4 linked regions of the Lepisosteus oculatus genome follow. The protein of the gene in region 2 binds, or shares a complex with, the protein of the main gene of each other region. Links are inferred from orthologs where the notes say so. Each region holds a gene or a part of one and is shown on either strand. Other genes may lie near its edges.

Evidence for each region.
Region 1: smarca2 (region 2) and smarcb1b share a complex: the UniProt entries of both Homo sapiens proteins name them as parts of the BAF complex. The link is inferred for Lepisosteus oculatus from reciprocal best matches to the Homo sapiens genes SMARCA2 and SMARCB1.
Region 3: smarca2 (region 2) and smarcd3b share a complex: the UniProt entries of both Homo sapiens proteins name them as parts of the BAF complex. The link is inferred for Lepisosteus oculatus from reciprocal best matches to the Homo sapiens genes SMARCA2 and SMARCD3.
Region 4: smarca2 (region 2) and smarce1 share a complex: the UniProt entries of both Homo sapiens proteins name them as parts of the BAF complex. The link is inferred for Lepisosteus oculatus from reciprocal best matches to the Homo sapiens genes SMARCA2 and SMARCE1.

The regions. Positions count from the first base shown.
Region 1 is NC_090717.1:9,611,273-9,618,840, forward strand, and holds the start of smarcb1b (SWI/SNF-related matrix-associated actin-dependent regulator of chromatin subfamily B member 1b), read right to left. Parts: upstream 3,091-7,568; 5' UTR 3,060-3,090; coding exon 2,976-3,059; intron 1,964-2,975; coding exon 1,852-1,963; intron 1,653-1,851; coding exon 1,523-1,652; intron 758-1,522; coding exon 620-757; intron 1-619.
Region 2 is NC_090698.1:22,301,401-22,309,373, forward strand, and holds the start of smarca2 (probable global transcription activator SNF2L2), read right to left. Parts: upstream 3,064-7,973; 5' UTR 2,950-3,063; intron 2,683-2,949; exon of another isoform or gene 2,597-2,682; intron 1-2,596. UniProt on the Homo sapiens protein: ATPase involved in transcriptional activation and repression of select genes by chromatin remodeling (alteration of DNA-nucleosome topology).
Region 3 is NC_090701.1:29,339,769-29,347,641, forward strand, and holds the start of smarcd3b (SWI/SNF-related matrix-associated actin-dependent regulator of chromatin subfamily D member 3b), read right to left. Parts: upstream 3,049-7,873; 5' UTR 2,814-3,048; coding exon 2,736-2,813; intron 1-2,735. UniProt on the Homo sapiens protein: Involved in transcriptional activation and repression of select genes by chromatin remodeling (alteration of DNA-nucleosome topology).
Region 4 is NC_090723.1:9,906,789-9,914,873, forward strand, and holds the start of smarce1 (SWI/SNF-related matrix-associated actin-dependent regulator of chromatin subfamily E member 1), read right to left. Parts: upstream 3,065-8,085; 5' UTR 2,975-3,064; intron 2,107-2,974; 5' UTR 2,062-2,106; coding exon 2,055-2,061; intron 688-2,054; coding exon 644-687; intron 52-643; coding exon 1-51. UniProt on the Homo sapiens protein: Involved in transcriptional activation and repression of select genes by chromatin remodeling (alteration of DNA-nucleosome topology).

The sequences.
Region 1 (7,568 bases), on a different chromosome or scaffold from region 2:
TTATACTAATATTATGTTATGTTTTTTGTGACATTTGATTTGTTCAGTTACTACACTTACATTGCCATACATCAGAGTTCCAGTACATCTTTAGTGAAATTTTTTTTGTAAAAAGCATGTGTTCAAGCACAACCTGAAGAAATATCTCCTCTCCTGTTAAACGGGACTGTAAATAAGCACTGAAATTCCAGCAAAATGATTTAGGTTTGTTATTCTTTATTACTAATAGTAATACTAGTAATAATAGTACTACTATTTTAAAACACTGAGTCATAGAACATGCAGGAAACTGAGAACTGATTTATTTGTTATTGTATTTAAGGCATTATGGGTTGAAATAATGAACCTGTAATGGGTGTAAAATGAATGAATCATATGCCAGGACTCTGTGGTGAACATGAGTGTTAACGTCCTCTGATAACAGGTACAGTGTGAACTGGTAAGGGATGGTGATTCAGTCTTATGAAATGGAGAGGCTTGGGACTGAGATAATACAGTATGAACTATGAAGGGTGGCGATCTATCATGATGAAGGCGGGGGGTCGGGGTAGGGAGTTGGGTGGCTGTTGCACGCAGTGGTCTTAAAGCCGCCGAGCTCCAGCCGATTCTCCGGACTCACCAAAGCGGGAAGGTCCTCTTCTTGTCCCGGCCCATGCGATTGCGGTTGATGGTGGTGGAGCAGGGCACAGCGTCCAGGTGGTGGGAGCTGTTGGGGAGCGTGGGCACCCACTGGCTGTTCCGCTTCGCCTTCTGCTCCCTGGGCAGAACATGTGAGAAAAAGAACCTAGAGCTTTCGCGGAGGATTACAACGATATAAAATATATTTTACCTGGACATACTGAGTGTCATTTGGTCATTATGAAAAGGGCAATTGCCCTTTTTTATTGTGCACCCGCTGAATCTGTAACCCCCCCATTAGTTTTAAGGCTTGATTCTCTGACAATGGTTCCTGCTCCGGCTCAGGAGCTCGTGACGGATATGACCCTCCCAACACGTTCAAGTGCCCAGTGCCTGGTGAGATCTAGCACTGCACCGATGAGTGGCGCCGTTCTCACCAATGTCACCGCAAAAACAAATCACAGACGTCACCGCTGCATCGAAAGGCCCCTGGCAGCACGGCAGCTCTGCCACCTATGAAATCTTAGTAACCGCTGCTTAACCTGCGCTCCAAGAAAGCACTTTTACTGGTTAAGCAACTCAAGTTCTGGTAATAAAAAATAACATTAAATAACAACATGATGTTAAAAATTCCAAAACATTACATCATTTGCATATATATGAAATCTCATTTAGCACTGCACACTTTAATTGATCCAGACTAAGGAGGTTTCATGCATTCTTCATGGAATCGCAAGATGATAAATGATACAAGATGGGACATGCTTAATTTGAAATGATTTGTGCTGCACTGGTATGGATGCTCCAGACTGATTTTCTGTTGATCTAATTCATAAACCTGCATGACATTTTTGGATTCACCACTGAATCGCAGTAATTACCAAGTTGTGCTTTGTAACATTACCTGAGGTAGGCAGGTGGCTCAGTGCTGATGGAGACTGCCTTGTACTTCTCATCGTTTCCTTCCAAGATCTCCTCAACTTCAGATGCTTTCAGCAGAGTCACACTGGTGGCTAAAGTTGTGTAACCGTGATCTAACACAAAGAAAACACTGAAGATACTGCTGTCCAAAAGTAGAACTTTCGGATTTACTAGCTCTGGGGAGAATGTTTCTGATCATTAAAGTGATTGCGACTCACACTTCTTGAACTTATTGGTAAATTATCATCGCTGATAATAATGCTGCTATTGGGCAACAGGAGTACTTGAAAGTGATAAAGACTTGACACTCACCGTGTGATGATGCTACAATTTTCTTCCTCTCCTCAACAGAAGCCAGCCTCCGCCACAGTGAAGGGTACCTCTTGTACAGTGAGCCTCTGAACATCCGCAAGTAGTTTCCTACCTAGGAAACGAAACCAAAGAGTCAAATAGCAGTGTCCCTTAAAGTAGATGAACCTGAGGAAATACAATAATTTGATTTTTTCTCAGCGGGTTAGATGTTAACATTGAACATGACTTTCTATGATTAACTGGAAATTATGAATAAATACTTACAAACACCTCTAGTTACTAACACCTCTATTTCGTTGCCAATTAAATATATAAGCCAACCAATAACATGTCATACAACCACATACTATATTTTCAGAATTAAGGAATGTCTTACACTGACAAGTTCAAGAACTTCACTATTTTGTCTTTAACAGAAAAGATTACTTTAAGTATCTAAGTAACTGTACTTTGACAAAATCAGCCCAAACAATTTAAGCAGAAACTATATGGTTACCCAGGCATTTAAAACTGAAAAAATGATCATCGCGGATCGATTACCATTCGAAAACGCCAGGTTAACCGAATGACCTCATCTAGTTTATAATCTTTGTAAATTCTACTCAAACAAGAAAACCCATTTCCAATAAATGACTATATTAATAAGACATTCAAATTCGTGTAAATCTGCATTTGTCAGTTTGACATATGTGACATCCGAGATACTGGTAATGAAAAACGTGCTGGAGAAAAATGTTTACGAAGACATTGCCAGATAAAGTGGATTCTATCATTATCTTCAGCATCTAGGTGACCGTATGGTGTTTCTTGTTGACTTTACGAGAACCAATACGCCCTTTCTAATTAATTTAGGAACATTTGCTCACAACACTAATCAAATGCTACCATAATAGTGTGAGTTATTTTAAAAACAAGATCGTTTTAGTTCAATTTTCTGAATTGAAGAGAAATAGAAATAGCGCTTACCCAACTAAGCCAGTTCATTCAGTAAGCCCAGACAGCAAAACACAATGAAACCGTACCCCAGGTTGACTTTAAACACTAATATCACAGCTCTAAAAAACGCTAGAAGCAAAAGGATTACAGAACCCGATTCAAGAACACCCCGTTAATAAAATACATACCTCTGAACCAATCATGTAAAATTCCCCATCTTCTTCAAGTTGAAATTTCACCGGCTTCTGCCCAAACGTTTTACTTAACGCCATCTTGGCTGTAACAAAAGCACCACAATGCGCATGCGACTATTACAGCAAGCGATCCGCGCATGCGTTGTTAAAAAGTCAGTGGAAACGGGTGTCTCCTGTTCTTGCTGTAGCGCCACCAACAGGAGCGAATCGTTAGCGCAGTGCATTGAAGGCTCAGCCTCGCGTAGACCTCTGACATCTAAATACCGTGGGCTTTCTGAAAATTTCTTCTTAATGAAAACAATGTTCATGCCAAACACAAACTGTTTGCTTTGTATTCAAACACTCCATGCGTCTGGAAACAATGCATAGTAAAACAGCTTGTGATGTGGGCAACAGCTTTATAATTTGGGTGCAAGTACATCCTGCATTTCCCACTGCCCTACTTGCTAATACTAATACATTTTCTAACAACTTCATTGAATTCAAGGTAACAGGAGAGCCGGAACCTGTCCCAGCAAGCAATAGGCGCAAGACAGGATACACCCTGGACAGGACACCAGTCCTGGGCAGAACCAGACAGCATTAGACACACTAGGGGCAGTTTTCCTAGAAACCAATTAACCTACTAGTATGTTATTGGACTGTGGCAGGAAACTGCAATGGGAAACTCGGTCCTTTTTACCTCTCCGACCCTGATAAACCATTGAAAACCACCACCTTGTATCCTAGTCAAACTAAGAAAACTTCCATTGCCCCAGTTGTACAAGCCAACATCTGTTAATTCCTTAAATGAGCTAAATGTAGATTTGTTAAAGGCACAGAGTTCCTGGCTCTTTTTGCTCTAAGGATAGCTGCGGTTTTGAGCATTAAAAGCAGTTTAGACTGAAAGGATGACAATAATTTGGATTATTGAGTTCAATTTCAATTTTATTGTAATGCTCCGCAGTAATTTGTGTAATTATACTTTTTTATAGACAGTTGAGAACACGAGGGATTGAAATTAAAAGAGGGTTTTTTTTTACTAACAATGTCAAATGTCTAAAGCTACATACATAAAGCATAAGACACCAAAGATAGCACTTTTAATACAGAATATAGTTTTGTAGTCTTACAAATGTTCAGTAGGACATTTTCACATTTATGGGTATTAAAATGAAATTTGTAGTTTCCCTTATAAAACTGATACACCAGCGTCCTCATTCAGTCATACCCCTGCTATTTTGGGGAGAATAAAGAAGAAAAATGGTGATGAAGCTCATGAAAAAGGTACAGTATGAGCTATATTTCCTTTCAATTCAGCAAGTGATCAGTAAATCTTGACAATTTAGCGACTTTCATTTCCTTTAGTTTTCCACAGGTATTTGCTTTCCTCTGAGATCAGAAATGATACATCAGAGCACTTGTCTTGTACTTTGGAGCACTCCAGGTTTCTTTCATCATTCTGTAATTTTTCTGCACTGCGTGAACTGGAAAATGAGACAAGGCTCCAAAAGCACAGGCCAGTGTAAGTTATGCCCCATGTCTTACAGCTGCAGTGAACAGACTCCTTAATTAATGTTAGCAATCCACTTTTTGTCAGGGGAAGCACAAAATTAATATAGGATTTGGATATAAATAATTTCTTTGGAAAAGTGAGGATATTGGCAGGCCAACAAAAACAGGAATTTCGTATGAAAGAAAAATAAAGAACTGCTGTGTCCAAAGACACTTTTTTTGCTCAGTGTCAACTTGGTCTTCACTCTTGGCAGGACTTGTCTCACAGTTTCTCGAAACCGTGGAACCATCAATTCCATTTCTGACGGAGCATAACATCGTCCTGCAGAGGAACTCTGTCCCTTCTGCTTGCTGTGAGCCTTGTCTTACATTTTCACAGAGGAAACAAGATAAGGAACAGTCTGGGGGCAGACACATTAATTATCTCAACCAGAGTCAGTACAAAATGAAACAGCATCTATACGGCTGTTTTAAGCTACGAAAAGATCTTTGATCTCCATTACTGTGCATTCATGTTTTGTATGCTTGGAGAATAATATATAGGTAGCCTTGGACCTCTGCAACATGAGTGTCTGGAAAGAGGGAAATGAACCTTCTTATATTGTTGCTCATATGCTATGCTTATAGTTCTGGTTCTCAGAGACTCATGAGTAATGGGGTCAGTTATTTTGGATACTTTGCTATTTTTATATAAACTCTGCAGTTCTTTGACTGAGAAAATAGATTTTAGCCATATTTCCATTACTCTGTAAATTATTTTGTTGACTCTAGCAGTAAGGGTGTAGAGGTATCCACTTAGACAGAAAGACACATCTAGATGTAAGTAAAGATATTCGTTTATAGGATGTGACACAATTTACAGTACCCTTAGGTGGAAAAAGTGTTGTGCTGGCTTGCAAAAGGGATATCCTCAATATATGTAATTACAGATACTGCAAAAGATTAATCAATAATCAAAGGATTTCTGTTAATGACTAACTCAGAAATAGCTACAATAGAGCAGTAATAACTGCCAGCTGGTGTAAATTTACATTTTATAGTGTTCTTTTTAACTGAACCTTCAGGTATGAATGGCTTTAGATGAAATGGCTTAACCAATAAGAGTTTACAATTATTGTATACCTAATATATAAAAAAGAGCCACACCACAACGGATATATGAAAGATTAAAGACATGGTTTATGTCACTTATCCCCAGGATTAATGAGGGAGCATCTGGAAATGCTTATTTTATCTGAGTTTTTTATGCTTCTGTTTTGCTTTGTTTAAAATCGCTTTAAGACTAAGAACTGTGGCTTTGGGCCAAAGTCAATCGTTTTAAAAATAAACTAGGTCTCCTAGTTGTTTGTGGTTCAGAAGGTAGTGATGCTGCTGGAGGTCAACGATAATAGTACAAAACTGTGGAAAGAAGAAAGGGATTCTGTCCATAATTTGAAATTGACCTTGATATAGACAACAGAACAAACAGACAAGGAGTAGGTTGCTTGCATTCTTCCTGTTATGTCCAGAGCATTCAATATTAGCAAAAATGAAATAATTGCTTTCAGAAGTTAATTACACTCATACATTTCAGAGCACGGGTGTTCAAACGCATACAATCTGATTCCAGACAAATGCTGATACAATCTCCCATTTGATGGAAATTTGGAAATGAAAAATGAACTGCTTGCAAAACACATATAAAGGGAACAAAATAGACGGCAGAACTTTCAAAGTACTGGAACTGATTAGAAACAAGGAAGGCCTAAAGCTCTGGGCCCTGACCGTTTCAGACAAAAATAGGTTCAAAAAGGCCTACGCAAATTACAAGAGAGCATACACTGTCATGTTTATGATATAAACCTTGTTTGCTCAAAAAGGGAGAGATAGCATTTCTCAGGGAGCCTGATGACTAGACAATAATATCTTTGACTTTAAATCTCTTTGCTGGTAAATTCTTTCCAGCAGGAGTCTCATTAAAAGATGCAACCCTCATTCTGGCTTTTATTAACAGTCTCTCTACATTTTGTAAGACTGTGTTTTACTATAGTCTCAAAATGGGGCTGGAAATGTAACATGTTTGTTGTTGTTTGATTTTTATGGTGGGGGACATCAACAAATGCTTGATCTTACAGTAAACTAGTCCTACTTCGAAATATGTTTTTTCATATTTACATTTTATAACATATAATGTAGTCAATTATGTTTTTAACAAGTGCAGATTTGTTTGGAAGGAAATGGCAGAGAATAAAGAAACTGTTTAGCTCATGATAAAGTACTGTCTTTTTAAGTGCAGACAGAAAGCATTTTCTAAAGCTGGCTTTCAACTTTGTATACATTAAAGTACAATTAAAGATGTTCCATGCACTTTTCTCAGTAACCAAAACTTTAATTACTCCAGAGGAAAGGTCTCTATTTCTGTAATTATATCACAGAAGGATTCCACAGAGTACAAAGACTCTTTGGAATGTTTCTACAAGATTGTGCCTTCTGTGTTTATGAACCTTAGGTACATCAATGTAGCTGTTATCTCAAATGCCAGAGGGCAGTGGAGAGTAACTGCTGAAATATTGTCATAAACCGATTGAACAGTTTTCCAACAATCCCTATTTTTTTCCAGGCATTTATATTCTGAACCATCTCGCCATTTTCTATCCAGTTCACGGTTGAGCGGGAAAGCTGGAGCCTAGTTCGACAAACAGGGCGCGCAAGGCAGGGTATACACTGGACAAGACACCAGTCCATCGCAGGGCCACACACAGACACAAACAGACACACTCACACTCACACCAGGGCCAATTTTCCCAGAAGCCAGTTAGCCAACCAGTATGTCTTTGGGCTCTAGGAGGAAACATGAACCAGCAAACATACAAACTGAGGCAGATTGCTCCCCAAGTCCGGAACTGAACCCAAACCCCAGTTTTGAGACAGTTATGCAATGCTCGTTCACAGAAGGCTTAGCAACTTCTAGACTGTTACCATTAGGTTTCAGAAGGGTTGGGTCTATTCAGCACTGAGATTGGGGGTTGCTGCTGTGAGTAGAGTTGGTAGACCAGTAGGTGGTGCTCTTCCCTGTAGATGAGAATTTCCGGACCAGTGTCACATTATGGTTTC
Region 2 (7,973 bases):
CTCACAACTGTGGCTTTCCAACACCTACTGATGCGCCATATGTCCGCTGTATATATACTCTTCAAATGAAAATCAGAAAACATTTTTTTTGTTTTATCATGAGCTTCATAGGTGCTCCTACATCTTTACAGTGGCTATTCAGTAATATTACAATTGGGGGGTGTACAAATACAAACTGAAGCAACTGTATATAAAAGCACAAAAGTTAAATGGTCTAAGTATAAAAAATAATAAAGAAGAAATGATTATCAATGGCCCTCTCACGACATTTTGCGACTAGATGTAAAATTCATATGTAACTAGTATAACTACAACACAAAAATTAACACAGTTATGTACATCAAGCAGCCGAGAAATATTGTCACAACTTACTTTTTAATGCGTTAAAAAAACTTAACAGCGTCTGCGTACAAGTTTGTTTGTTTTTTGCAGTATCTTAACATGCTTACAGCACAGCATTAACAGCATGAAAACTGACAGGAAATGTGACCACAATGAACACAAAATCAAAAGTCATCCAAATTCAAAAAGACTGGAATTTGGTTGGATTTATCCAGCCATATACCAGTCTCTGAATATAGTAGAGAGAAACCCTAACATGTATGAAACATTGCATGCTGTTATTTAGAAAAATAATAATGCAATTACTTATCAATATTAGAATAAAAACTGTTATGACACATAAAATGCACACTACTCTGTTATATGACCATCTATATAATTTAAAACAAATGCAACTGGAAACCGGTTTCATTCTACACCAGTGACATCCAGTACAGGTCATCAGAAGTATCGGCAGGTCTGCATTCTGACTGACAATTAAACCAGCTGATTACTGGCTTAACTGGACCAATTCAACAGTTTCTCCTGCTCCTCAGGGGATGCTGCTGCTTTAAAAAAACCTTGAAAACCTGCAGACACACTAACCCTCCAGCCACTGGGCCCCTGCTCTATAGCAAATGGTTCTGAGTCCCGGTCCTGAAGTATCCCTTTCTCTGTAGGCTTCTGTTCCCTCTTAGACCTTACTGACTTGTTAGAGGTGCCTGTAACTAATCTGCTTTCTGCTCTCGACTTTATTTCTGCACTCAGGCTGTCTTTTCAAAAACACCCTAATTAATGTGCATTAATCATGCGGAAATGCCTTCCACATACAGAACTTCATGTAGCCTCTCCTCAACTTGCCTGTTAAGCAATTACTCTCTTTATTTCTGACTAAACAGCCCTTAATGTTATGGTATCACACAATTCCCACAGTATATGTTTTCCCTTCTGTTTAAATCCAATGGCTTATATTTCAGATAACGGACCTGAAAGAGGACAGTGCTAAAACTCACTAATTAGGACAGGGCTCGTGCTAATTACAAATCTCGGCTATTTAAGAGCTGAAAGCCAATTAAAAAAAAAACCTCAAACAGAAAAATGAAATTAAATAACCTGTCATTATTAACCTAGCTAAAGCAAAACCAGATAACACAGGGGTTACTCAAGATGAAGCCTGAAAACAACTGTACTAGGTTTTGTTCTTAAACTAAGGCCTGACTTCAGAAAAAAAGCCTAAGTCTTCAAGCAGAGCAATTCTGATAGCAATTAGCACTGGTAATTACCAGCACAGCTGGAACTGGAGTCAGCAAACACACAGGTTTTCCAGTACCAAGACTGATAACGAGGGTTTTACAGATGGCAATTTTAATTCTTATCTTTGAACGCCCTGGAAAAATTTTCATTAATCCGGTTTTGTTTTTGATAGCAGGAGGGGGATCGTCAGGTTTACACCAAAGCCATCACCCAGAGGTCATAAGCCACCCGTGTACCACAGAGATGGGAAGCGTGCTCTGATTTACATGACAATAAGCTATTCATGTGGACAACTGAGTGTCACGCCTCTTCTCCAACCCAGCAAGCTTGATAGCGAAATAGTGCCCTTTTAGGCGTGCAGCTGAACATGTCAATCCAAGCGTAAACAGGTAAAGGAAACATTTAAACAATAACACGTTGATCGTGAAATACATTGTAAATAGGACTAAGGGTGATACAAAAACTTGGCAGCTGTCCAACTGTTTGCATTGATCCTACGGCACAAACGCCGAATAAGTCACGTTAACTCTCAATATACATTAGTTTTTCCATATACTACGTTTTGTGATTATTTGCCGTTAATAGCTGTTTGTATTTTTCTTTCACTAGATTACAACCCTAACTGTTGTTCTGGCTGCGTTTACGAACTATACTGGAAATCATTAATTTCCAAAAGATACATTTTTTTTATTTTTAAGAAAAGAATAACGTAAAATACGCAGTCCCATTCTTTCATTTCTGTTCGATTGATTGACAGTGGCGGAACATACTCCAGCACGCCGTGATGAAGACGATCAACATGTCTGTTATTTCCACTTCCTGACTGAGCTAAGTACATTAAAAAATACACTTTGTTCGCAGGCCTCGACTTTTCATTTCTGACAAACTTCGCTTATAAACTTGACCACGGTCCCGTCAAAAGCAACGCGATGATCCTGCTTCGACGATCGCCATTACAAGACTATTTAAAAGACAAATAAGTGTTTCACACACTTACAGTACTGCCTTTTTTTCTAAATACCTGTTATTTTGGAAAAGCCGCTGAGCGGATCATGGCTTCCCATGACTGTACTGGCTGAGTTAGACTTCCGCAGCGCTTCTGCTAACTACCTCCTCTAAATAAAAGAAAAGTTCGTACGCTTAGGGTCACTACCGATTTACTAACATACTGTACGTATTACGGAAAACAAACAACTTTTACATTTCTTTCAGAAGCCGGTCAACATGCTGTCAACTTCGCAGAAAAATCAATAATAAGTTCAGAAAAGCTACTTCTTGTCACCCGTCGCTCTTACGCAAAATAACACATTACTTACACGTACAAAAGACTGTAATAATGGACAACCAAGTACAAAAAAGATCAAGTCAATTTACCTTAAGGAAGTAGAAACAAACTACGAATCAAAATAAATTCAGGTTTAGAAAGGTATGTCCACATTGACTACCATTAAAATTTCCCCTCCCCCTCTCGTTTGCTGACAACCTTGGGTTGAGATTTTCCAATTAGGGGTTTTCTGATTGGTTATTACGACAGGAAGTACCGCTTACCTCGGCGACGGATTGGTGCAATCGACCATCAATAATGTCTTTTAGCAGTTGGGCGAGTGAAGCCCTTTTCCACAGCAGTGCAGATTACAGAAAATACTGGAACATGTATTTATTGAGCGTCGAAAAGGGAGGGAGGAGGAATGTACAGTATTCAATAGTTTTGAAGTACTAAGAAATGTGTAGTTGAGTTATTGACAGATTTTACTGAGAAAGTGGTAGCGTAAACGCAATATGAAAGAGTCATTTACCTAGCGCTTTAAAATGTATAACTGAATGAGATTATTATACAATCACTGAAAAAAATGAATTGGTTCATTTTATATAAATAATTTTGTAATATTAATTCATATATTATAATATTAATTAGAAATAGCGTTGCAAACCCAATTGTACTCCATGAAACCAGCTAATTCGCCTAAAATTGAATGTACAGCAGTAGTCCATATGATGCGTCTGTCCGGTGTAACTATTGAATATAAAAGGATATTAGATTGTTTGGACAACCGAATAACGATGTATAAACCTGTGAAGGAGATGCCTGTAGCCAGAGACAATCAAGATTAACCAACAGTCCCAGGTAATTTTGGATAAAAATGCTCTAATCCTATGTGAATCACATATTGTAGGCCTTCAAAAAGAATAAGAGGCATGGCCAAAAGCTTTTGCATTGTGAGTCTGTTGCCTGAAACTCAACTTTAAAAACTGAAACGTTGAGTACTTTATGTGTATGTTCCCATATATCTTCTTTATTTTTTTTATGATTAAGATGGAAAGTGTCAAATACTGTAGGTCTGAGATTGGATTGCACTGACATCTACTTTAATTAGTAATAACAGCAATTAAGAACTGTGCAACAGATTCCTGTATGTTTTACATGATGTCAAATTAGAGAAGTTTTTAATTGAAGCTGTAGCAATTCAGTGTTTATCATTTTTAAGAAGCGTATCCTTTACTGTATTTTGAAGATACGAAGCACAGTCTACAACTTTAATTCCAGTGTTATGGGAATATGAATTCACTTAGTGTTATTTTTTCTGATTGTTTTTTTTTTAATTCTTCGGCTTTTTAAGATCAGTGTTTTCGAGTGAAATAAGCATCTCCATGAAACTTTGAGGATCACGCACTTCATGTTATCCTTAATAATAATTTAAGAAGCACCTTCTTTTAGTACATAGGGAACGTTTTTTCCAGAACAGTTCATTTTCTCAAACTTTTATGAGCTCATGAGCCACACTAAACTAGGAGATGTGACTGGGAAGTAATATTGCTTGAGGAAAAAAAAGTGCTTCTGTCTTGTAATAAATTAGAATGGAAGAAATGTGAGTGTTAATTCTTGCTTGAAGAGACTAAGAATAGAGAATGACTAGGGTACAATACATACAATACACCTGTATCACCAAAAATGGATTGTTTCCCGTCCATGTACAGTATGGCCTTCAGCACAATGCCCAGGGAAATAAAATGAGATACTTCGCAATGGCAAAAAGTCTTGCGTGTCAGTGCTGCTTAATAGGGCTTTCAATGCACAAATATCTTCATCTAAAGCCAGGGTACGCAGACGTAAAGGTTATTGGTCCTGCCGTTATCAGAGGATTGGATAAACACCCACACCTCTTTCAGCTTCGTTACATTTTGTGGAAATATCTTCAAGTGCTGTAGATTAATTTCAGCCCCTTCAGTTTCTCGGCCCCACTCGCACATGACCAGCTATCTGTGGACTCAAGCTTTACGACGTCATCCCAGACAGGTTTCTACTACCTAGGGTTCCTGACAAAGCAGACGATACTGTTGATAGCGCTGTTACAGCACTCTAGCAAGTGGTGGAGAAACAGTAAGGTGCAGGTTTCTACCTGTACTACTCGCAATTGTTTTTTGCTTCTCAACTAAATTTTGCTTTAAAGAACAGGGCGCAGATAGCAGAGACACAACACTTCCCTAACTGTGTAGGCTCTCGGGAAATCCACCAGCTACGCCGCTCCATTTACTTGCTTTAACATATGTTGAGGAAAATTTCTTTAACAATTAATCCATTACAGTTACTTATTTGTGTAAGCGATTAGCTTTTTTCTCTTAATAAGTTAAGGAAATGTGCTTTTAAGAGTGAATATATTACTTTATATAGTAACTACACACACGTTGAGTAAACTGATCACTATTAACTTACTGACCTTTTAATATTATTTGCCCCCCTTCCTAAGGTAATCACACAGATTGAACTGTAATGGTCTTTTCAAAAGAAACTTACCCCAAGACCCAATTCTGGCACCGGGGAGTAGTAACTCGTTTTCAGATGAAAAATCCTCTTATCACACTTACCGAAAAATCATTGATTGCCATAAAATTATTTTATTCGTGAAATTAATTGCAAATTAAATTACAATAACTGTGTAAAGGAAAGAAAATTTGATCCAGCAAATTGGGAACCAAAAGAACCAAGAAAGTTAGTTCTTAAACTATACCAGTTAAAGCCACAAGGGGGCAGGAAATGTCCTGTGTTTTGATGTACAGTAGCTCAAACTATTAAAGAGGAAACATTTCTTTGCATAATTCGTGTTCGATAAGAGAATATCACGAAAAATAATTTTGCATGTTTAATTAACAAAGAATATTAGAATATTACACATTCACAATTGCTGTTGGATGCTGACTAGTAAATGAACATTTACTGTTCTTATTTTTCATGTTTATTTTTTGGTCAACAGAGGGAGCTTCTTTAAACGTGAAAGGAAAAACGTTTAGGCTTTGAAGTCGTCTTCGCGTGTGAGGCGAAACATTGTGTTTTCTTTCTTCTCTTTTCAGCATGCAATAAACCTTTACTTGTTCCTTTGCAGCCTACGCATGCTGACACAGCTACAGTACCTACTTGAAATTTTTTAAACTTGAGTCTTTTCTGCAAGTTATATCCTGTAGACTTAGGATAACGTGCTGCAATGATGAGGACCTTATTGGTCACACAAGCACCGAGGTGATCTGATTTGCGTATTTGGATATTTGGAGAGAGAATATAAAAAACAAAACTGAAATTTAAGAAGCAAATTCTTGGCTTCTTCATAGTTATGAATATCTTCATATCTTCTTCATAAGACACGGAGGTCTTCGTATTTGGCTCTTTTCCGTTAACTGGCCTCCTCCATCCTGTCTCCCAAGGAAACTAGCTCGTAGCTCTAGCATGACCACCTGCAATACAATGCTTAGCTATGTTTGGTCACTATGCTCCCTAGGTTGACCTTCAGCTGCCAATCTCCCACCGTTGCCAGGAGACCTGCTGATACTTTGGACAGCGGATGTGGCTGCTAAATGGCTCTGATGCTGATTGCTGTTGACACCCCTGCTAATAGTGTCGGCTAAGGCCTTCTGCACCTGGCCGCGACGACATCGATAGTGTCCTTCTCCAAGGGTTTAGGATGTGCTCCAGCATCCCTTGTCCTTGGCACAATGGGCATATTGTTGAACATTACAGACTAGAAGGACTAAGTTGGACATCGTAAACTGCCTGGATCATGAATTTAATATGATGTGGCTCTGCTTGCTAAAGCTTGGGCCATGAAACCTTGCATGTTGGGAGATGTATGCTCCCATCTCTTCCCTGCTCCCTGCTGACACATTTCCACCATCCTGCCAGTAGTTCCACTTCCAATCAAATGCCGTATCATGAATTTCTTTAACATAACAATCTTCAAAATATTAGAGCAGGACCTGTGCAAATAGTGCTTCACATTCACTATTTACATACTGTACAAATGAAAAATCAACACCAGACAAAGCCCATAAAGGATAATGTTAACAGACATTTCATGAAGACCTGGGATTACTGAGCAAAATAATTTACTATTTATAGTTTTTCATCCAAAATAAATACACTAAGCTTGACAAATTACTGAAAACAAACTTTAGATTTACATACTGTTATTAATAGCACACGACGCCGTGCTTTAGAAAAGCTCTGGTGCATAGGTAAACAAGTAGGTGACATTTGCATTTTCTGATCGCTAAGCATGAACATTATTCTAGCTTCTGTGCTTGCATAAATATGCATACTGTATTTATATACGGTATATTATGTGTGTTATTTTTGACCCATTCCAAATAAAATACCACGGAGGAAATAGGATACATTTTTCTAGTATTTACTTCAAATGTTTCTTATTAAAATACCCCACCACCCCTCCCCACCTTGTCAGCAATCCGAGCTGCTAATATTGTCCAATAAATGTTTCTTACAGTGTACCAGCAATGTATCTTCTACTTTTGTCTATTCAGTTATAATCATCTCTCAAAGCATACTTGTATACCCATTTCATTCTCCCGTCAAGCCAGACTCATCATATCTCAGTGGGGGATAGACTGGTATAACCGGCTGATCGCTTTCAAAACCTGTTCTTCTTCCTGAGTTAAGTAATTAAGGTTTAGTCTGACTTTGTGCGAAGGAGTTTCACCATGTTGAAAAACTAACCTTTTCACCTGCACACTCCTACCTACCCATGGAGGATATTCCATGACATTAACTTGAATTTAATGTGCATAAATTTAAATGAAGGTTTTAGACAGAGTTACAGATCTGTTGATTTACAGATCATTTACTTGCAGAATCTGTGTGTCAATTGTGCTTTGAAGTACTGTATGTGTTTTTACCGTGCTTTTATGATATGTAATTTATTGTATGATAGGCGGTCGTAGTACTCAGTTACTGTTTGTCCACCTTAATTTACCATTCAATTTAAATCTTACCTTTTGGGAACTAAAATAGCCAAGCAATATGTATGATATTTTCAAGAGGAATATGGACAGCAAAGTAGTAAAAAGCTATTGAATATTTGTGATTGTTTTCAACACCATGGGAGACAGCTGGT
Region 3 (7,873 bases), on a different chromosome or scaffold from region 2:
CAGAGAAGAGATTTTATTTTGGTTTGGTTTGGTTTTTTGGTTTTTTTAACTTTCGTCTTTTCTTTGATTTGCTTAATTTAACGAAGATAAAAGTTATGAATACAGGGGTCTGGATTCAAAAGTTTCATCTTTGAAGTTCACAAGGTCAACTGAATGTACATGGTGCCACACACAAGATGACCAACTCGTAATATTTGTAACTATGTGGCAGGCTGCCACTATCACACCCACTGGAGGGGCCACAGCTGCATGTTCCACAGTTGCAAAGTGGAAGTTTAAATAGACAAGGTGATTGAAGTTTATTAGTGAGTGATCGGGTGCGCATGGGAATGCAACGATGTCTGCGTGCCTCCGTGCTGTTTGTGACACGCAGTCCCACTATTGACCCTGTCACACTTTAAAATAAACAACTTGTGTGTCAATGTAGACAAAGCAAAATATGGATAGCTCAACTATGAATAGCATGCGTAGGCTGCAAAGGAATAGGTAAAGGTTTATTCTGTGCTGAAAGGAAAAGGAATGCTGTAACCTGAAGAGGGCTCCACAGGCAAAACTTTGTCTATTCTTTTATAGCACAATGAAAAGACAAGAAGCAGCGATGTGATCTGTCTTTCCTTACCATCGAGTCGCACAAGCGTTTTCCAAACATATAGATTCAGTGAAAGGTGAGAAAGAAGAACGGGGCATCAATGCCGTTAGTGGTTCACCTGACTTCACTCATTTTAGTGCACAGGTCCTATTTACTCATGCATACTGGCTGAAAGCATGCCATGGAGAAAGCTGAAGGAAAGGCACTGACCTTCCTTGCCCTTAGTGACGTGTCATTTATGTAACCATTTCTAAACAAGCAATTTAGCTAACCACGCCGAACTAGCAAACTGATCCCCAACCATACTGAAAATAGTTAACATTATATCCCAAAAAAGCTTTTCTCAAACTCAAAACAGGTTTTTCCAGAGAAGCAGCGGGTGACATTGATTAGAAGGCTAATGCCTGAGTTAAACGACCTACATCGGCAAAAAACTAACCTGATCTTTTCAGAGTGACTGGTATTGCCAAGGCTCAGCATCAATGAGATAGAACACAAATTGAGAATGGCACAGAGACGACTAATCATCTCCCGTGTGATTTACATGTGGTGTTTCAGATTACGCATTACAACCTGAAACAGTGGGATGGCAAGATCCTGACAAGGGTCTCCAGGTTTGTCACTTGGATGTCAAAAGCATCCACTTACTTTCTCCTCAATGAAACCAATGTACCTGCCAAAATCTGCTGAACCAGGGCAATGGATATTGGTTTCTGTCAATTTCACATAGGAGAATATAAATAAGAAAATAATTGGAGATTCCAAAATAAAAAAGTAAAAGTTACACACCATGTGTCATACTGACTACTTATTCTTGCAAAAATAGCATCTGAAGAGACTTCTCAAACTACAGTGTCAGGGAATATGCACAGAGGCGGCTGATTAGTGTCACACGAAGCTGAGAACTCTATGAGGTGGTCTATATCTAGGGTAAGCCTAACATGCTGTACCTCCTCTCCTCATTTTCTCTTTCAGGTGTTACCCTGTTTGTAATGAAATATTTATGACAGCACAGAACAATCTAAGAAGAACAAACAAAGAACTGCATCAGAAACCAATAGCAAGTTGTAGACATACACCTCTAATTTCTAATTTGTCTCTAAATTCTTCTAACCAGACAGCCAGACGGTTTGTATTTCATTTGCTTCTATTGCAGCAGAACAGATTTGTTATTCAGGAGACATCTGAGTGTAAGAAACTCAGAGTTTCTCTAAATCTTTTTGGCTCCAGGGATGCCCTGCTCTTCAGGTCCAGCATGGTGGAAACCAACGTTTATTTTTGCAAGACTTTGTTTATCATAATTAATTAAGACAAGCACCAAGGTGGCCCACAAATAAAGTCAATGTGTGCTCAACATTGTTTGCTGGGCTTGCTGGATGAGTGTTTGCACTAAGCAGGTTCCTCTTACTGTAGCAAAAGAGTTTTCATCTTGTACAAAATCTGTCAGGCAATCTGGAACATACTAGGCATGTTTTCTTAGAAGACACGGCTCCTGAATCCTGACACAGTATGCATACAGTAGCACACTACAGCATATTGTATACTGACCTTCTCCCACGCAGTTTATTATTTTTTCTCTTAAAAACAAACAAAAAGACAATATGCCAGACTGCCAGATCTTAAGAGCTGACGTCCATTTGTTCCAGCATTCCACTTGTATTGTTCCTAAACTTTCCTACTCTTTACAAAGCACAAGGCTTTTGTGCCCACTTTTGTTGCTCTGATAAGCCTCTCAAGGCAATAAACCTTCCTCTGCACTTCCCAGACTGAACCATTAAGGGGGCTTGAACTGGTCTCATCTAAACTGGTTAAAAGGTTGAGGGGGGCTCCCCAGTTGTCCAGGTGTGCTGCGTGCAGCAGCAGAACTCAAGTTGTGGAGGCCAGTCGCAGTAGGCACTCCACATGCTCTTCTGGAAGCGACCAAGGAGCAGCGTCTCTTTCTCTTTTTAATGACTACAAAACCCACCTCCCCTGCTTCCCCACAGCTCCCTCCCTCCCCTCTCTTCTTTAAAAAGAAACGGTACGCGACTCAAGGCTGGAAATAACCTTCACACGGCTTTCCCAGCTATCTCACGCATGCAGACTGCCAAGCTTTGCACACACAGAGCAACCCAGCTCTTACCCCAGCCAGCCAGCACCTACTCACCACACCGTGGACGAGGAACTCAAACAGTTTGCTTTTCGTAGCTTTGCGGGCTCCCCCGGCAGTCTCCTCTGTAGCCATTTGGTAGCCCCCTTTTTCTTTTGTTTTCCTCCTTATTCTTGCTCTCTTTCTTTCCCTTCCAACTCAACCCCCCCTACTTCACTTTCTTCCTTTTTATTCCTGCCTTTCAGAACACTCTCTCCCACTCCCTCTCTCTCTCTTTCCCCCTCTCTCCCTCTCTTGTTCTCTGTGTTTTAAGTGTGTAGCCAAGCCAAGTCCCTCTCTCTGGCTCTCACACTTTTTAGTTGAGCAGCATTTCAGAAGCCTGTGGAGGGAGGGCGGGGGTCTGACAGGGGGGTTCCGGCAGGCCCACCCTCAGGGCCCCCCACGCAGCTGTTGCATTCCATTGGTAGATAAGGGCATGCTGTGTGACTGGCTGCTGCACTCTGGTGTTTATGCACTGGCTGGAAAAGTTTGCTTTACAGTTACCCATTCCCCTTGCCAATCACTGATGACAAATGTGCAGAGCTACAGCTTGACCAAAGAGAAAGGTTTCATTCTCAAAAAGGAGAAAGAAGGCTTAAAGGGCCCAGCTTTCATTTTGCATCTCGACTTCTCAAACGCTTTTAAAGCTCTTTCCAAATGTTCAGTTTGTGCGTTTTGAAACACAAAGCAAACCAACTTGAGCAGATTGCTTTAAATCAAACATGGAAGTGAAGCTATTTAAAAAAAATTGAAACAAAGAAACAAAACCTTAAGCATGGGTTTCAGCTGCTAGCAAGGGGTGCGCTTTTAACCAAGAAAACTTCATTTAACCTCATTATCACAGGAAACAAAATGTGGACTCTTATTCCCTGTACGGCCATGTCCAAAGAACTTAACATAGAAAGCCAGGTCTTATAAAGCTCTTATGTCCACATAGACAAATCAATCCTGTACAGTTCTCTACATCTCAGTGTCTTATTTTCTAATTAAATTAGAACAGTTCCACTTGTATGCTGCAGGGAAACCCATCTCTAGTTTTCCAGAAGTGTCAGATCTGCTGGGACCTTACAGGAAAAAGGGGAGCCGAAAGAACCACCTGAAACAGAAACTGTTTGGCAGTTTCTGTACTTCAAATGCTCCCCTGCAGAAAGATTCACACCCATGAACCCGATGTGACATCCGAGTCCAGTCTTCAAGACAGCACTGCATTAAGCCCAGAACCATCTGAACGGGACTGGGATTTTCTCGGCACTAGCTCATGACTGGTCAGACTCCAACTGCTGGATGGTCTTGAGCCAATGAAAAGTCAACAGCTGCCGCCTCTGGGACCTGCCCATGAGTTTGCAGTCCTGACAGTCAACCGGTGCCAACTGTCTCTCGAAGCGTTGTGACTCACTGGCTTGGCACATGGCTTACAAGTGAGCATCAGAGGTGACCATCCGCAGTCCTGTGAGGGTGCAGGGTCCATACTGGCAAGCCAATTGAGTAATCAAATGGTGACTTCAAGCTGAGAGGGCAGTAAACTATAGTAAGAACAATATTTAAGAAAAAAGATTTGAGCATACTGTAGGTACAGCTGAGCACAGGTGAGTGTAAGTGAAAGGGAACATTAAAAACATACTACAAAACCATGACAATCAGAAATATTTACTAAGCAGCATTCCGTATGAGCCAGAGTCCAGTACTAGTGCTTAGTTGTTAAAGTGTGGAAATAACAGCGATGCTGAGCCTTTCAGAAAACCCCAAGGGATGTACAGGGGCAAGCAGGTCAGAACAGGATATACTGTAGCATTAATAACTTCATACCTCGAATACAGTTTCAGCGAAACGAGAAGATTGCAACATAGTTGAACTTCACCAGACACTGCTGAATAACAAATTGTTCTTTATACACAGAAAACTGTTCAGAGGCAATGATTTCTTATGGTTAAGAAATCGGTTATTGCAAATTAAGCAATTTAAGTTTATAATGTATCCCTTAACCATTTCAGGTTACATTAATAGCCTAAGGTTTAAGTATAATGTTCATGAAGCCTGCATTCTCTCACACTTATCCCATATATGAGTTGAAACCTAAAAGACCTAATAGACCTAATAAAGGGCACAACACCAACGTCAAAGATCTTAGGAATCATCGCCAGCACAACAGATATACATAAAATTTGTGGATCTACAGAATTTTTTAATTTACATTGAATGGTTGGTTACAATATACTTTAAAGTTATTAGAGTACATTATGACAGATGCTTTTAAATCCCTGCAACAGCCTGACCACAATTACTTCAGTATATGCTATCTTCACTGGCAGTACCTGTTTTCTAACTCATTGTCTATTTCCAATTCTGGGGGAACAGCTGTCAGGACCCATTAACTGTGGCTCGGACTGATGTCTGAGGGATGTCTTACCACTCATTCTGGGGATAATCTCCCCTTGAATAATTTGACAACTGTATTTCCAAGGCTCTACTCACAGACAGTCACTTCCCTGTTTAAACTGTAGTGTCGGAGCCAGGCTCATTTTTTCCTGCATGGTTTCAGAAAACCTCCTATACACTTCCCGCAGCGTAGAACTCTGATTCAGGTTTCGGTTGAGTGAGCTAAAGCCTTTCAGCAAATCTTAAACAGGTAATCTACCCATACTAAAAATGCTTTGTAAGTAAGAGGTTGTTTGACTCTCCTCCTCCCCAAACCCCCAATCTATGGTTTGTCTATATTTCCCACATTTTCTTCCTCCTTGTTCAGCCCCACGATGCCTGACTTCCTGAATACTTTAACATCTGTGATCCGTCTCCCCTTAAACAGTTGTAGTAAGACATTTTACTAGAAAGGCAGCCTCACAGTTATACTGTACAACTCTTCTGTAGATTATTTTCTAACTATACAGAGCCTTTCACTACAATACATTAAACAGCTTGACATCAGGAAATACATTCCTTATCAATAAATTTAATTCACACCAGTGAAGACAGCAGCCTGTTAAAACCACCACAGTTTTATGGAATAATACATTCCTCTGTGACAGGTACTCACTGTCAGTTGATCCCAAGCTATTTTTTCCCACTCAGTTTGTCTGCTGGCTTTACACAGGACTGGCATGAGAGTCTACTGCTCTTTCTTATTGTCTTTCTCCTTATTCTGCAAATAAGACGTAACTGTACACAGGTTCCCTTTACTTCCATATTACTTCATAAGAGAGGCAAGAAAAACAATTTGCAGATGAGAATTGTAATGGGCTATACCAACTGCAGTATGTTATCAAATACATGTTAATTTAATACAGTGATATATGCACACCAGACACTGAGTATTTCATGGAAAATAATATTGAGCTCCTCGTGACAAAAGAGTAGCACAGTGTGTTGGCTGACAGACTGCTACTCAGGGGTACTATACTGTAACTACATACCGTATGTCTGCCAAATGTCCAATCTGGGAAAAGAAAGTTTTCTGTCATGGGATAATTACAACATGGAACATTTCCAGGAATATCCAATTCAAGAAAAGGTTACTATTTTCACATACACACACCAAGACTGAGCACACAGACATTCACATACTGTATACAAACAAAACACACAAGCACAAATGTACACCCCTACCAGAGACACAAAGATGCACACAGATGTATAGAGATGTACACAGACTAAAAAAGAGCACATGATCACAGTCTGCGTCCCCTGTGGACTGCATGTTGAGCCCACAGCTGGCTGGAATGCCTGTGAACACTTCCTCATCTGAAGTCTCTTTGTTTCACAACAGTTGTTCTCACAATGGTCATGCCCAGGCTCCTCAGGAGTCTCGGGGCTGCGGGTGACCCCGTGTCTTGGGAAAGGAACTCGGTAGTGTCGGTTCACTGATAGTTTTCCACGCAAACACTGAGAAACTCCACTCTAGCTTTGAGACTGACAAATCTCCTCAGTCTGTGTAAAAAGAAAACTTCCCCTTGCCGAGCTGTAAGTCTAAGTGAAGTTAATCATAATTCTGAAGACAGGCCCAAGCGACTGTGTTACTTGATGGTCAGAACATAAGAATCACGTCTGATGTCCTCACATCCAACAAATACTTAAGACTACTTTTAATTGGAGCAGATCAATATTCTTTCAGAATCCCACCACACAAACTAATAAAGTGTATTCATTGCCTGACAAATGAAATAATGCATACACAGCAAGAACCATGCAATCGCCTGAAGATCTCCCAGTGACTTAAAAAAGAGCATCCAGTGAGAATAACCGAAGACCCCTGGTGGGTGGAATTAGGAGGTTGTCACTGCAAGTCACCTTGGGACAGGAGGTTCACGTTCTACAGTACCAAGATCTGGCCTCCAGATGGCAGCGATAGTTTGTACCGTATACATTTTTTGGTTTACAAACTCATAACACAAGACAAACTTCACCATAAGTAAAAAAGAAAAACCAGGTGTCACAACTGGCACAGGAAATTCCACTGGGGACCCAGATTACAAATTAAGTACTTGGAAATGACATAATGTGTAACTATATAAAAGCTTTAGTGTGCAAATTAGATCTTTTCTGCACTTCAGAGAGGAGCTGGAGAAATGCTGGTGTGGGTGTGCGAGAGACAAGATCTCCATAAAGTCTCAGAAAAAGGTGATTTTATTCATCTGTTCTCAGCCTTCCATGGTTTTCAAAAGCCTGAAGAGCATCTTGTGACAAAAGCAGTGCTCTTGTTGTTTAAGCACATGAAGGTCTTCTTTCTAGCAACTCAAGAGTGAACTCTCTCTTCCTGTCGTGTGCGCCACAAAACAAAGCCACAGCTCCTGGTCCTCACTACGACAACAAACAGCAGTCATGTTCTTGTATTGTGCAAAGTGACACTGTGCTGTAGGAGCTCCTGTCCTTTGGATGGCATGTAAAACCCAGGTCCTGACTATCTGGTTGTTAAAAACCGCATGGCACTTTACAAAATAACTGGGGTGTCAGCCCAGATGTCCTGGCTGAATTCCACTCTGAGCCCCAATAATCTAAGGTACAGTAGGTAGGTCCCTTTTCAGGCCATAAAGACCCATGGGGAATGAGGTGCAAGGGCCACCATTTTCCTTGACCATCTGACATTGGAAATGGAGGTGAGGTGGTCAGCATCACACTCCAGCTGGCCTCTTACCCGCAGAAGGATTAACCCCCGGTACTCATTT
Region 4 (8,085 bases), on a different chromosome or scaffold from region 2:
CAGATGGCTGTATGGGTTGTATCCCACAAACCCTGGGGTGTTGGGCATTTGCTGATGGAAACAAATGAGACAAAAACACGAATGAGAAATGACAGAAACAAAGAGGGGAGGAAAAAAGAATGAAAAGGAGAAAAACGAACCAAAAAACAAAAAGAATATGGTCTGCATACGGAGTCATGCAAAAGCAACTAACCATTTTTTTTTTCAAAGCAGCAATGGTAGTGATCTACATTGGCATTATTGACACTCCTTGCGTCAGGACGACCTTCGCTTACAACCAAACAGGAAACATACCCACAGCTAAGGCATTACTTTAGAGTTACAGTCACACATAACTGGTGTCTGCTGAGGACTAATGGCATTTGAAAGCTGAACGCTTCACCCACAGTACAGTAACTGCAGGGGACAGTTCACTGGCCCTGCAGCACCAGCACATGAAGTGTGGAAAATTCAAGCCCTGCAGGGACCTCCTCCTGTTAGTGGTTTATGGAGGAACGAGGGAGAAGACTGCATCTCTTTGAGATGTTCGAACACATTTCTTACGGACTCAAAGGCCGGATCCCAGCCTGTTATAAGGTTCAGAGGCCCTTGCACAGTGAAGGAGCCGCCTCGTCTGTCTCTGTGCTGCATCTGCAATACTTACTGTGGTGGGGGCTGGGGCAGGGGGAGGGGCATAGGATGGCCTTTCTGCATGAAAGAAAAGGGGAAAGAAATTAATGACACACGGAGCTGCACGGAGCCATTACTGCACTGCTCACAACGCACCTGTGGGGATGGGGCAAACCGGGGCACACCCCAGGGCGATTTGGCTCCCCCCCACACTGCGGCTGGCTGCAGAGTTGCTTGAATTAGCACCGATCACCCTGCAGAGCTACAAGCAGCCCACCGAAACTCTCCGAAGAGGCACCATGCCCGTTGAACTGGGGAGCAGTTATCAGTACTACGATGCAAAGGACTAGGTCCAGATCTCAATAAATGGAAAAACTGTCTGATTTTGAAGCCGGATCAGCTAAACCAAGCAGTCCTATATATATTCTCTGGCTGGGATCCCCGCCAGGCACTTCTGTCCTTCCAGGCCTATCAGTATTCATTCAAGCAGCTGCTTTCTCCTAGAAATCACCTTTATCCCTTCCCATGTGTTTCAGAAATTAGCACATGCAACCCTAACAAAAATACCTCATTTACTACCCCCTACTCACACCTTAAAAACAAGATATATTCCCCAAAGAGCTGACCTGCATAACACACAAAACACACAGGGAAAAGTCTTCATAGGATTATCTATGAAATTCTTCACCCATTTAGTGGAAAGATTAATTCCTGAAGAAAACTATCAAGGTCACTATTTAGCTTTTTTAATGCAAAGCAACCTTCAGAAAAAGTTTTAAAAAAACCTTCAAGTGGAATCAGTCTCTGGTCAGCCCAATGCCAAGTAAATGTCTGTTTATTGCTGAGAACACACTTGAGCTTTAACACTCCTTTCTGCTCACTGAAATCAGCCTCACCTAAAACTTTTTAAATTAACGCACAGCCCATTTAAACTAAAGGTTAAGCATGAAGACAGGATTAGATTCTCAATGTCAGTATCTTTTATAAACCGGTTACACCCCTCTTGAACTCTTCCTGGTCTCTTTTTGTCCGCAAAACAACGGACGACAAAGGACAGAACAAAATTAATTAAAGGGGATTTTAAAATTAAAAATCTGTTTTTTACAAACAAGCTCTAAGAGACCCATGGTGTTTTTGTAAACGCGGGACTACTCTGTGAATGCTGAACTTGGAACACGGCAAAAATAATTTATGTGGATTTTATTTCTACCATTTTGTGTTCTGGCAAACAGCACATCGTCCTGCTTAGACAGAAAAAGCAAAACGTTTTCCTGCGGGCCAAGAGTAATGCCTGCTCAGTGAAAATGCTGAGTTTCTGAACTGGACTGGAGCTCTGGACAAGCCTGGAAAGGCCAGCAGGGAGGGGAGACTGGAGGCGACAGGGAGACCTGTACTCTTCTGATACTACAATCAAACCACATGAACTGAAATTTAATTTTCCTTACTTGACATCTTGGATGATGGATGGAGGATATCAGGCTATTCCGGTCATTGGTTCTGTAATAAATAAATCTTTTTAGAACAAAAAAAGGAAAAGAAAATAATACAGCATGTTGAACTGTTTGGTATGGATACGGAGATATTGAGCTACTCATGATAACCAATCCTGCCAGTCTGATTAGAGACGCCAATGATGCCAAGTCACGGTTCTGTGCAGTGGCAGCTGTTTCGTTGCAAAGTACTACAACATTTCAAAGCCTCAAAGCAGCCCAGATACATATACAATAAATAAAGGCGCTTTTCTCTCACTAGCAAAGAAAATATGATAAAGCAGACTTTACAACACAAACACGAGAGAGACATGCAGTTCTGTCAGTAACACCTGAATAATTATTATTATTACACCAGAGAACGACACGTTCATCACAGCACTGTACAACACACTGTGCCGATCTTACTCTGAACAGCTCATTCCTTGCAAAGAGGATATCACCGCTCAAGAGACTTGTGCTTGTATACATCTGCTCACTGACCCGTCTCGTTGTCTGTACACACAAGGCCTCACAATAACAAAGAAAACCTCGAGTTCTACCGGCACACTAATCTTCCTGACCCCTACAAACAATATCTTGGATGAACGCCGGCTCTAAAGGGCTCTGGATACTAACAAGTAAACAAAAATCAAACTAAAAGCAAATTAAACAACAGGCCATAAGATGACAGATGTTCTGCAGCAACACCAAATGAATGGCGGCAGACATTCCGGCGGCTCAGGGATGGAGATAAACCAATACGCCAAACTATGTCGATGGTCACGCACAGCAGCACAACGCCTGGGATGTGGTTACTTTTGGGTCACTTGCTGGCCAGTTTTCACTTGGACATTTTGTAGAAAACGGTGAAAATGAACCTAAAACACACTCACCCCCACACAGCCTTTGTTCGCTCGCACCACTTCCTCTGCCTCCCCCACGCTAACCTTCGATTAAACTCGGGAGATTCGCTGTTTCAAACCGGCCCGGAGAGATAGGTAGGAGATCTACGAGGGGCGAGAGAGGCGAATTAAATAAAAAAAATCTTAATTAAAAGACTAAGAAAAATAATTTGTATTTTATATTTCATTATATATATATGTTTTTGACAATACTAACTGAGCTTTGATTTAACGTTCTTTTGTTTTTCGAAAGTGCCGCTCTTGACTCTCAGATAGAATTTGCGTGAAGTCCATGTTATGGATTGTGTGAGAAATACACTGGAGAATTTTTGTTTTTTTAAATCGATAATGAAGAATTTTTCAAATGCTTTTTCAAATGCTTAGCTAATAATACTTAAAAATAAGAACGGGCTCTACTGCAGGGTTTCTCATTCTAAAGGGTCGCAGGGCGCTGTACACTTGGAAGGGGTCTCACGTCATCCCGCACTGTCCTGCCTCACCTGGGTGACACTGCAGGTCCGGGGACAAGGGAGATTGGAAAAATAAAAAATTGAAGCTTCACGTAGGCCACGGCGTGCTGGATTTCAGAGGGGACTGAGTGTGTCAACACTACAACATTTAAATCATTTTCTGTCTTTGCCTTTAGAAATCAGTTGTTAAAATGTGATCTTAAAAATTGTCCTGTCTTCATTCCTATTTTGATTTCTTTAAACATGAAAGGATGTATATATAGAGAGAAATTCAGTTGAGTCCTAATGTTTATTATTATAATTCAGGTGCTGTTGTTTTTTCCTTTCATTTGCTAAGCCCTACCCAGTGAAAGCCACCGTCACTGTCAGTATATACGATAAATATATCAAACTCCTGAAGGGAATTAGGGGCCATCATGAACAATAATGTCCTTTGGATGAGACGTAAAACCGAGCTCCCAACTTTCTGTGGTCATTAAAAATCCCAGGGCATTTCTTAAAAAGAGTAGGGTGTTACCTCAGTGTCCTGGCCAAATTTCCCATTGGCCCTTACCAATCATGGCCTCCTAATAATCTCCATCTCTGAACTGGCTTCAGCACTCTGCTCTCCTCCCCACTGAGAGCTGGTGTGTGGTTAGAGTACTGGTGCATCATCCAGGTGGGGCTGCACACTGGGGGTGGTGGAGGGGATCCCCATTACCTGTAAAGCGCTTTGAGTGGAGTGTCCAGAAAAGCGCTATATAAGTAAGCAATTATTATTATGAATAATAATGTCTCTTGTCCCTCAAAAGAACCTTTACATTAGATAAGAGGGTCAGAGGAAAGACCTGAAACAAGTTTTTTTTAATTAACTGTATTACAACACTGTATACAGTTCTTTTAAGCAATTAAATTCTAACATGCTTCAAAATTAAAAATTTAAACTGTGATTGGCCATTATCGATCCTTTGTTTGGCTAGTGGTCATTAAGGCTGGATTCGCACACCAGAGTCTCCAAGCCTGCCAGATGTTACCACGTGCTGTAGTCTGTTCACTGCCTCCTGTTTGAGGATCTCCCCTGATGAGTCATCGCTGAAGCCTGTTCCGGCTCTGACGCTGATTGTCCGCTTATCCGTGGGAGCACTAAGGAACAGGTTTTTCCCATTTTTCTTCCCTTTTCTTTCCAGAAAGGACAGGTTGTCCCAGACTGAAATCTCGCTTCAGAGAGACTGTGCACCTGCAGCTCAATGGGAGTGCCAAGATCCTGAATGGTGGCCTGGGTTGTACCGGTGCTGATCAATAAGAACATTGCACCCCCGCGCCACACACTGCACAATCACACTGAGTTTCAGTGAACATTTGACTGGATTTGCCCTTAACCACCTGCCCACATCCCCACGCTGCCTGCCTCCCTACAGTCCTGAACAGCAGTGTAATTACTGGTTATGTCCATTCCTCCAGCTTAGAAGTTCATCAGGCCAGAACTCTTCCCACTTTCAGCAGCACTAAGCTGATGAAGAGCATATGCCATCAACGGTCATGACATCATTATTGAGCATTACATCATCATTGGTCATTACATGATTATTGATCGTTGCATCACCATTGGTTGTTACACCATTATTTACATTACATTACACGTTACATCATTACACAGCCTTGTGGTCTGCAGGCACAGGTACAAGGAGCCGTGCAGAAGGGCCCAAGAGGAACGTCTGCACCAGGGGCTCAGCCCCACTGCCTTCCAGTTACAAATCCAATGCCGTAACCCATTGTTCTGTGCCACAACCCTTAACACTGTTCATTCAAGTCTGGAACAAAGAAGACTATAAGGGAACCTGATACGAGCTTTCAAAATACACAGAGGCCTTCCACCCTGTGGGCCTGCCTGGAAACAGCAGTGAAACACAAACCTAAGGAGCTGAACTGCAGTGAAGTGCTTGTGGGGGAGACTGGAACAGGCTACTCAGCCATGCTGTCAAAACCCAGACGCTGGCTTGTCTCTAGAGGCTGAACAACGTATATTACTGAACAACGTATATCCCTCTAAGGAACTTCTAAAAAAAAGGTTTCACTTTGACTGTAACACCTGTACTGTACATTTGGTGAATTCCATCTTGAAACAACTAATCACATTTTTTTTCTCGTGTCAGCATTCAGCAGCTTTCTGGTACTCTGTGTGTTCTTGGTTAAATAATAGTAATATTTGTGTAAATCTAACTTTTAAGGACATTGTTCTTAGTGTTTTGGATTCAAACAAAGAAGTTTGTATAGTGTTAAATGACATTCTCATGTTGGCAAAATTGTACATACATACGCGTGGACTAAAAAAAACTCTTATGGGATTTAAAGAATTTTCTAATTCTTTTAAGCTATACTCAGGTTCCTTATTCCATATCAAAAATATGCTCAATTAATTGGTTTACAGAAATCTTTCAGCATATAAACATAGTATTTAATGTGACCCCTAACACCACACAACCTCATACTGTTGATAAGGGTCTAACTCATTTGTTTGTATATTAAGAACAATTGAAAAACCAAACCAAAAAAACAAGCCAGCCTCTCGTCTGTGGGCTGCACTGTCCACACAATGCTGGACAGTCCTGAGCTCCGCCTGATTGCTCCGCCTGAGCTCATGCCAGCTGCAGCAGAGAGCATGTGTGACCCCCAGTGGGGAGCACCCAGTGTCCCCAGGGGAGAGGGAACAGGGCTGCTCGCTCAATCGGGTGTCTGTTTACAGACGGCTGTGCTCTGATCACACCCTCGATACTGGCTGCATGCTGATGTCTAGGCTACATTGTTTGGCACTGCTCAGTGGAAATAATTGCCACAGGTACAGTCTTGGGTTTCTCCTACACATTGTTTTTAATCATTTTTCCCTCTGGAGCCATGCCAGCGAACCTTCTCTGTGGTTTCGGTATTGCCTACAACGCACACAGGCACACACACGCACACAGACACACACACAGGACTTGAGCAAGGCCACCGAGGGACACAAAAAGCACAAAACATAGAATTAACCACCACATGCGACAGCATTCTCTCTCTGCAGCAACATGAGATTAGATCAGATCACTTTATTGGCCGTATACAATTTATTGCATTAGGAATTTATCTTTTCGCAGACCCCAGCTTGCTCTCCATGAGACACACAGATGGGGAGAGAGAAGTTTGGGGTCAGAGTGCAGGGTCAGCCGTCTATACAGCACCCCTGGAGCAGCTGGGGTTAAGGGCCTTGCTCAGGGGCCCAACAGAGTAGGATTCCCCTGCCAACTACAGGATTTGAACCTACAACCCTCCAGCCACAGGCGCAGTTCCTTAGCCACAGGGTCACCACTCCCTGCCTAAGGTAGATAAAGAATAAATGTTAAATGTAGAGCCTTATAATCCCTTAAACAGATCCACACTACCAGTTCTCAAACTACAGTTCAGGCTGTATTGACTGTGTGCCCTTACTGTGGACTGTCCTTGCCTTTGATAAGACCTGGGCTGTCCCTGGAGAGCTGGTGCACCTGTACGTCTTCAACCTAGCTGAGAGGGGGCGCCAGAGGGCCACTGATCTCTGGAGTGAGGTGCAGGCTTCAGTAATCCTCACTAAGGTAACTGCAGTTTACTCTATGAGCTATACTTTTGAGCTGCTGGTTCAACTACTTTGTTGAAAACACTTTGTTCCACACAGGGCGTCACACTCCCACTGCTCCTCGGAGTGATTTATCTTCTTAATTGCGTGAAATTAGTTTCTAGAAATTGTCTATCTTAGAGCCGATTTAACAAAACCTGCAGGTGTTGGCCCAAGTTGGGTAAGAGGCAATAAATTAAGAAGCCGTGTGTCCTCAGGAAATATCATCGACAGCTCACAGGAAAGTTAAATCCGCATCTTTAATTTGAAGTTTTTTATTGCAGCTTGTTACCCAGCTCCAGTGTTCGTCACAGATGTTGGTTGCCTTGGTAACTGCGAGGAACAAGAGCAGAGGCGCTGGAGGACTAGGACGGCCCACTCCCCGAAAATTGCAATGAGTTATTAAAGAAATTAAGTTTGTTGGCCTTGGCAGCCGACTCCCATATTAACAAAGCTCTCATTATTAAACAGCCTTTTATTTTTTTCTGACTTCATAACATAACTTTATTAGCCCTGTACAATTACTTGCATCAGGAATTCATCTTTTCGCACACCCCAGCTTGCTCTCCATGAGACACAGACACAGAGAGACAAGCCTGGGGTCAGCTTGGGGTCACCTCAGGGTCAGCCGTTGTACAGCACCTGTGGAGCAGTTGCTCAGGGGCGCAACAGAATAGGATTCCTCTGCCAGCTACAGGATTTGAACCAGCAACCCTCTGGCCACAGGCTCAGATCCTGAGCCACAGAGCCACTGATCTGTCTCTGACTTCCTATATAGTGGAATCCTGAGGCCCAGGGAAAAGAGATTTGGACAGTGGGGTGCAGTCTGCCTTATTTCCCCCCACACCCCATTTCAGCTGAGCACCGACTGGGAGAGGAGAGTCTGAGAGCAAGGGGGACACCTGTGCCTGAGTGGGGAGGGGTGTCGACGCACACACACACACACACAAACACGCACACACACACACACACACACACACACACACACACACACGAGCCAGTGTCAGGTAAGTCAGACAGCTTCCTGTCAG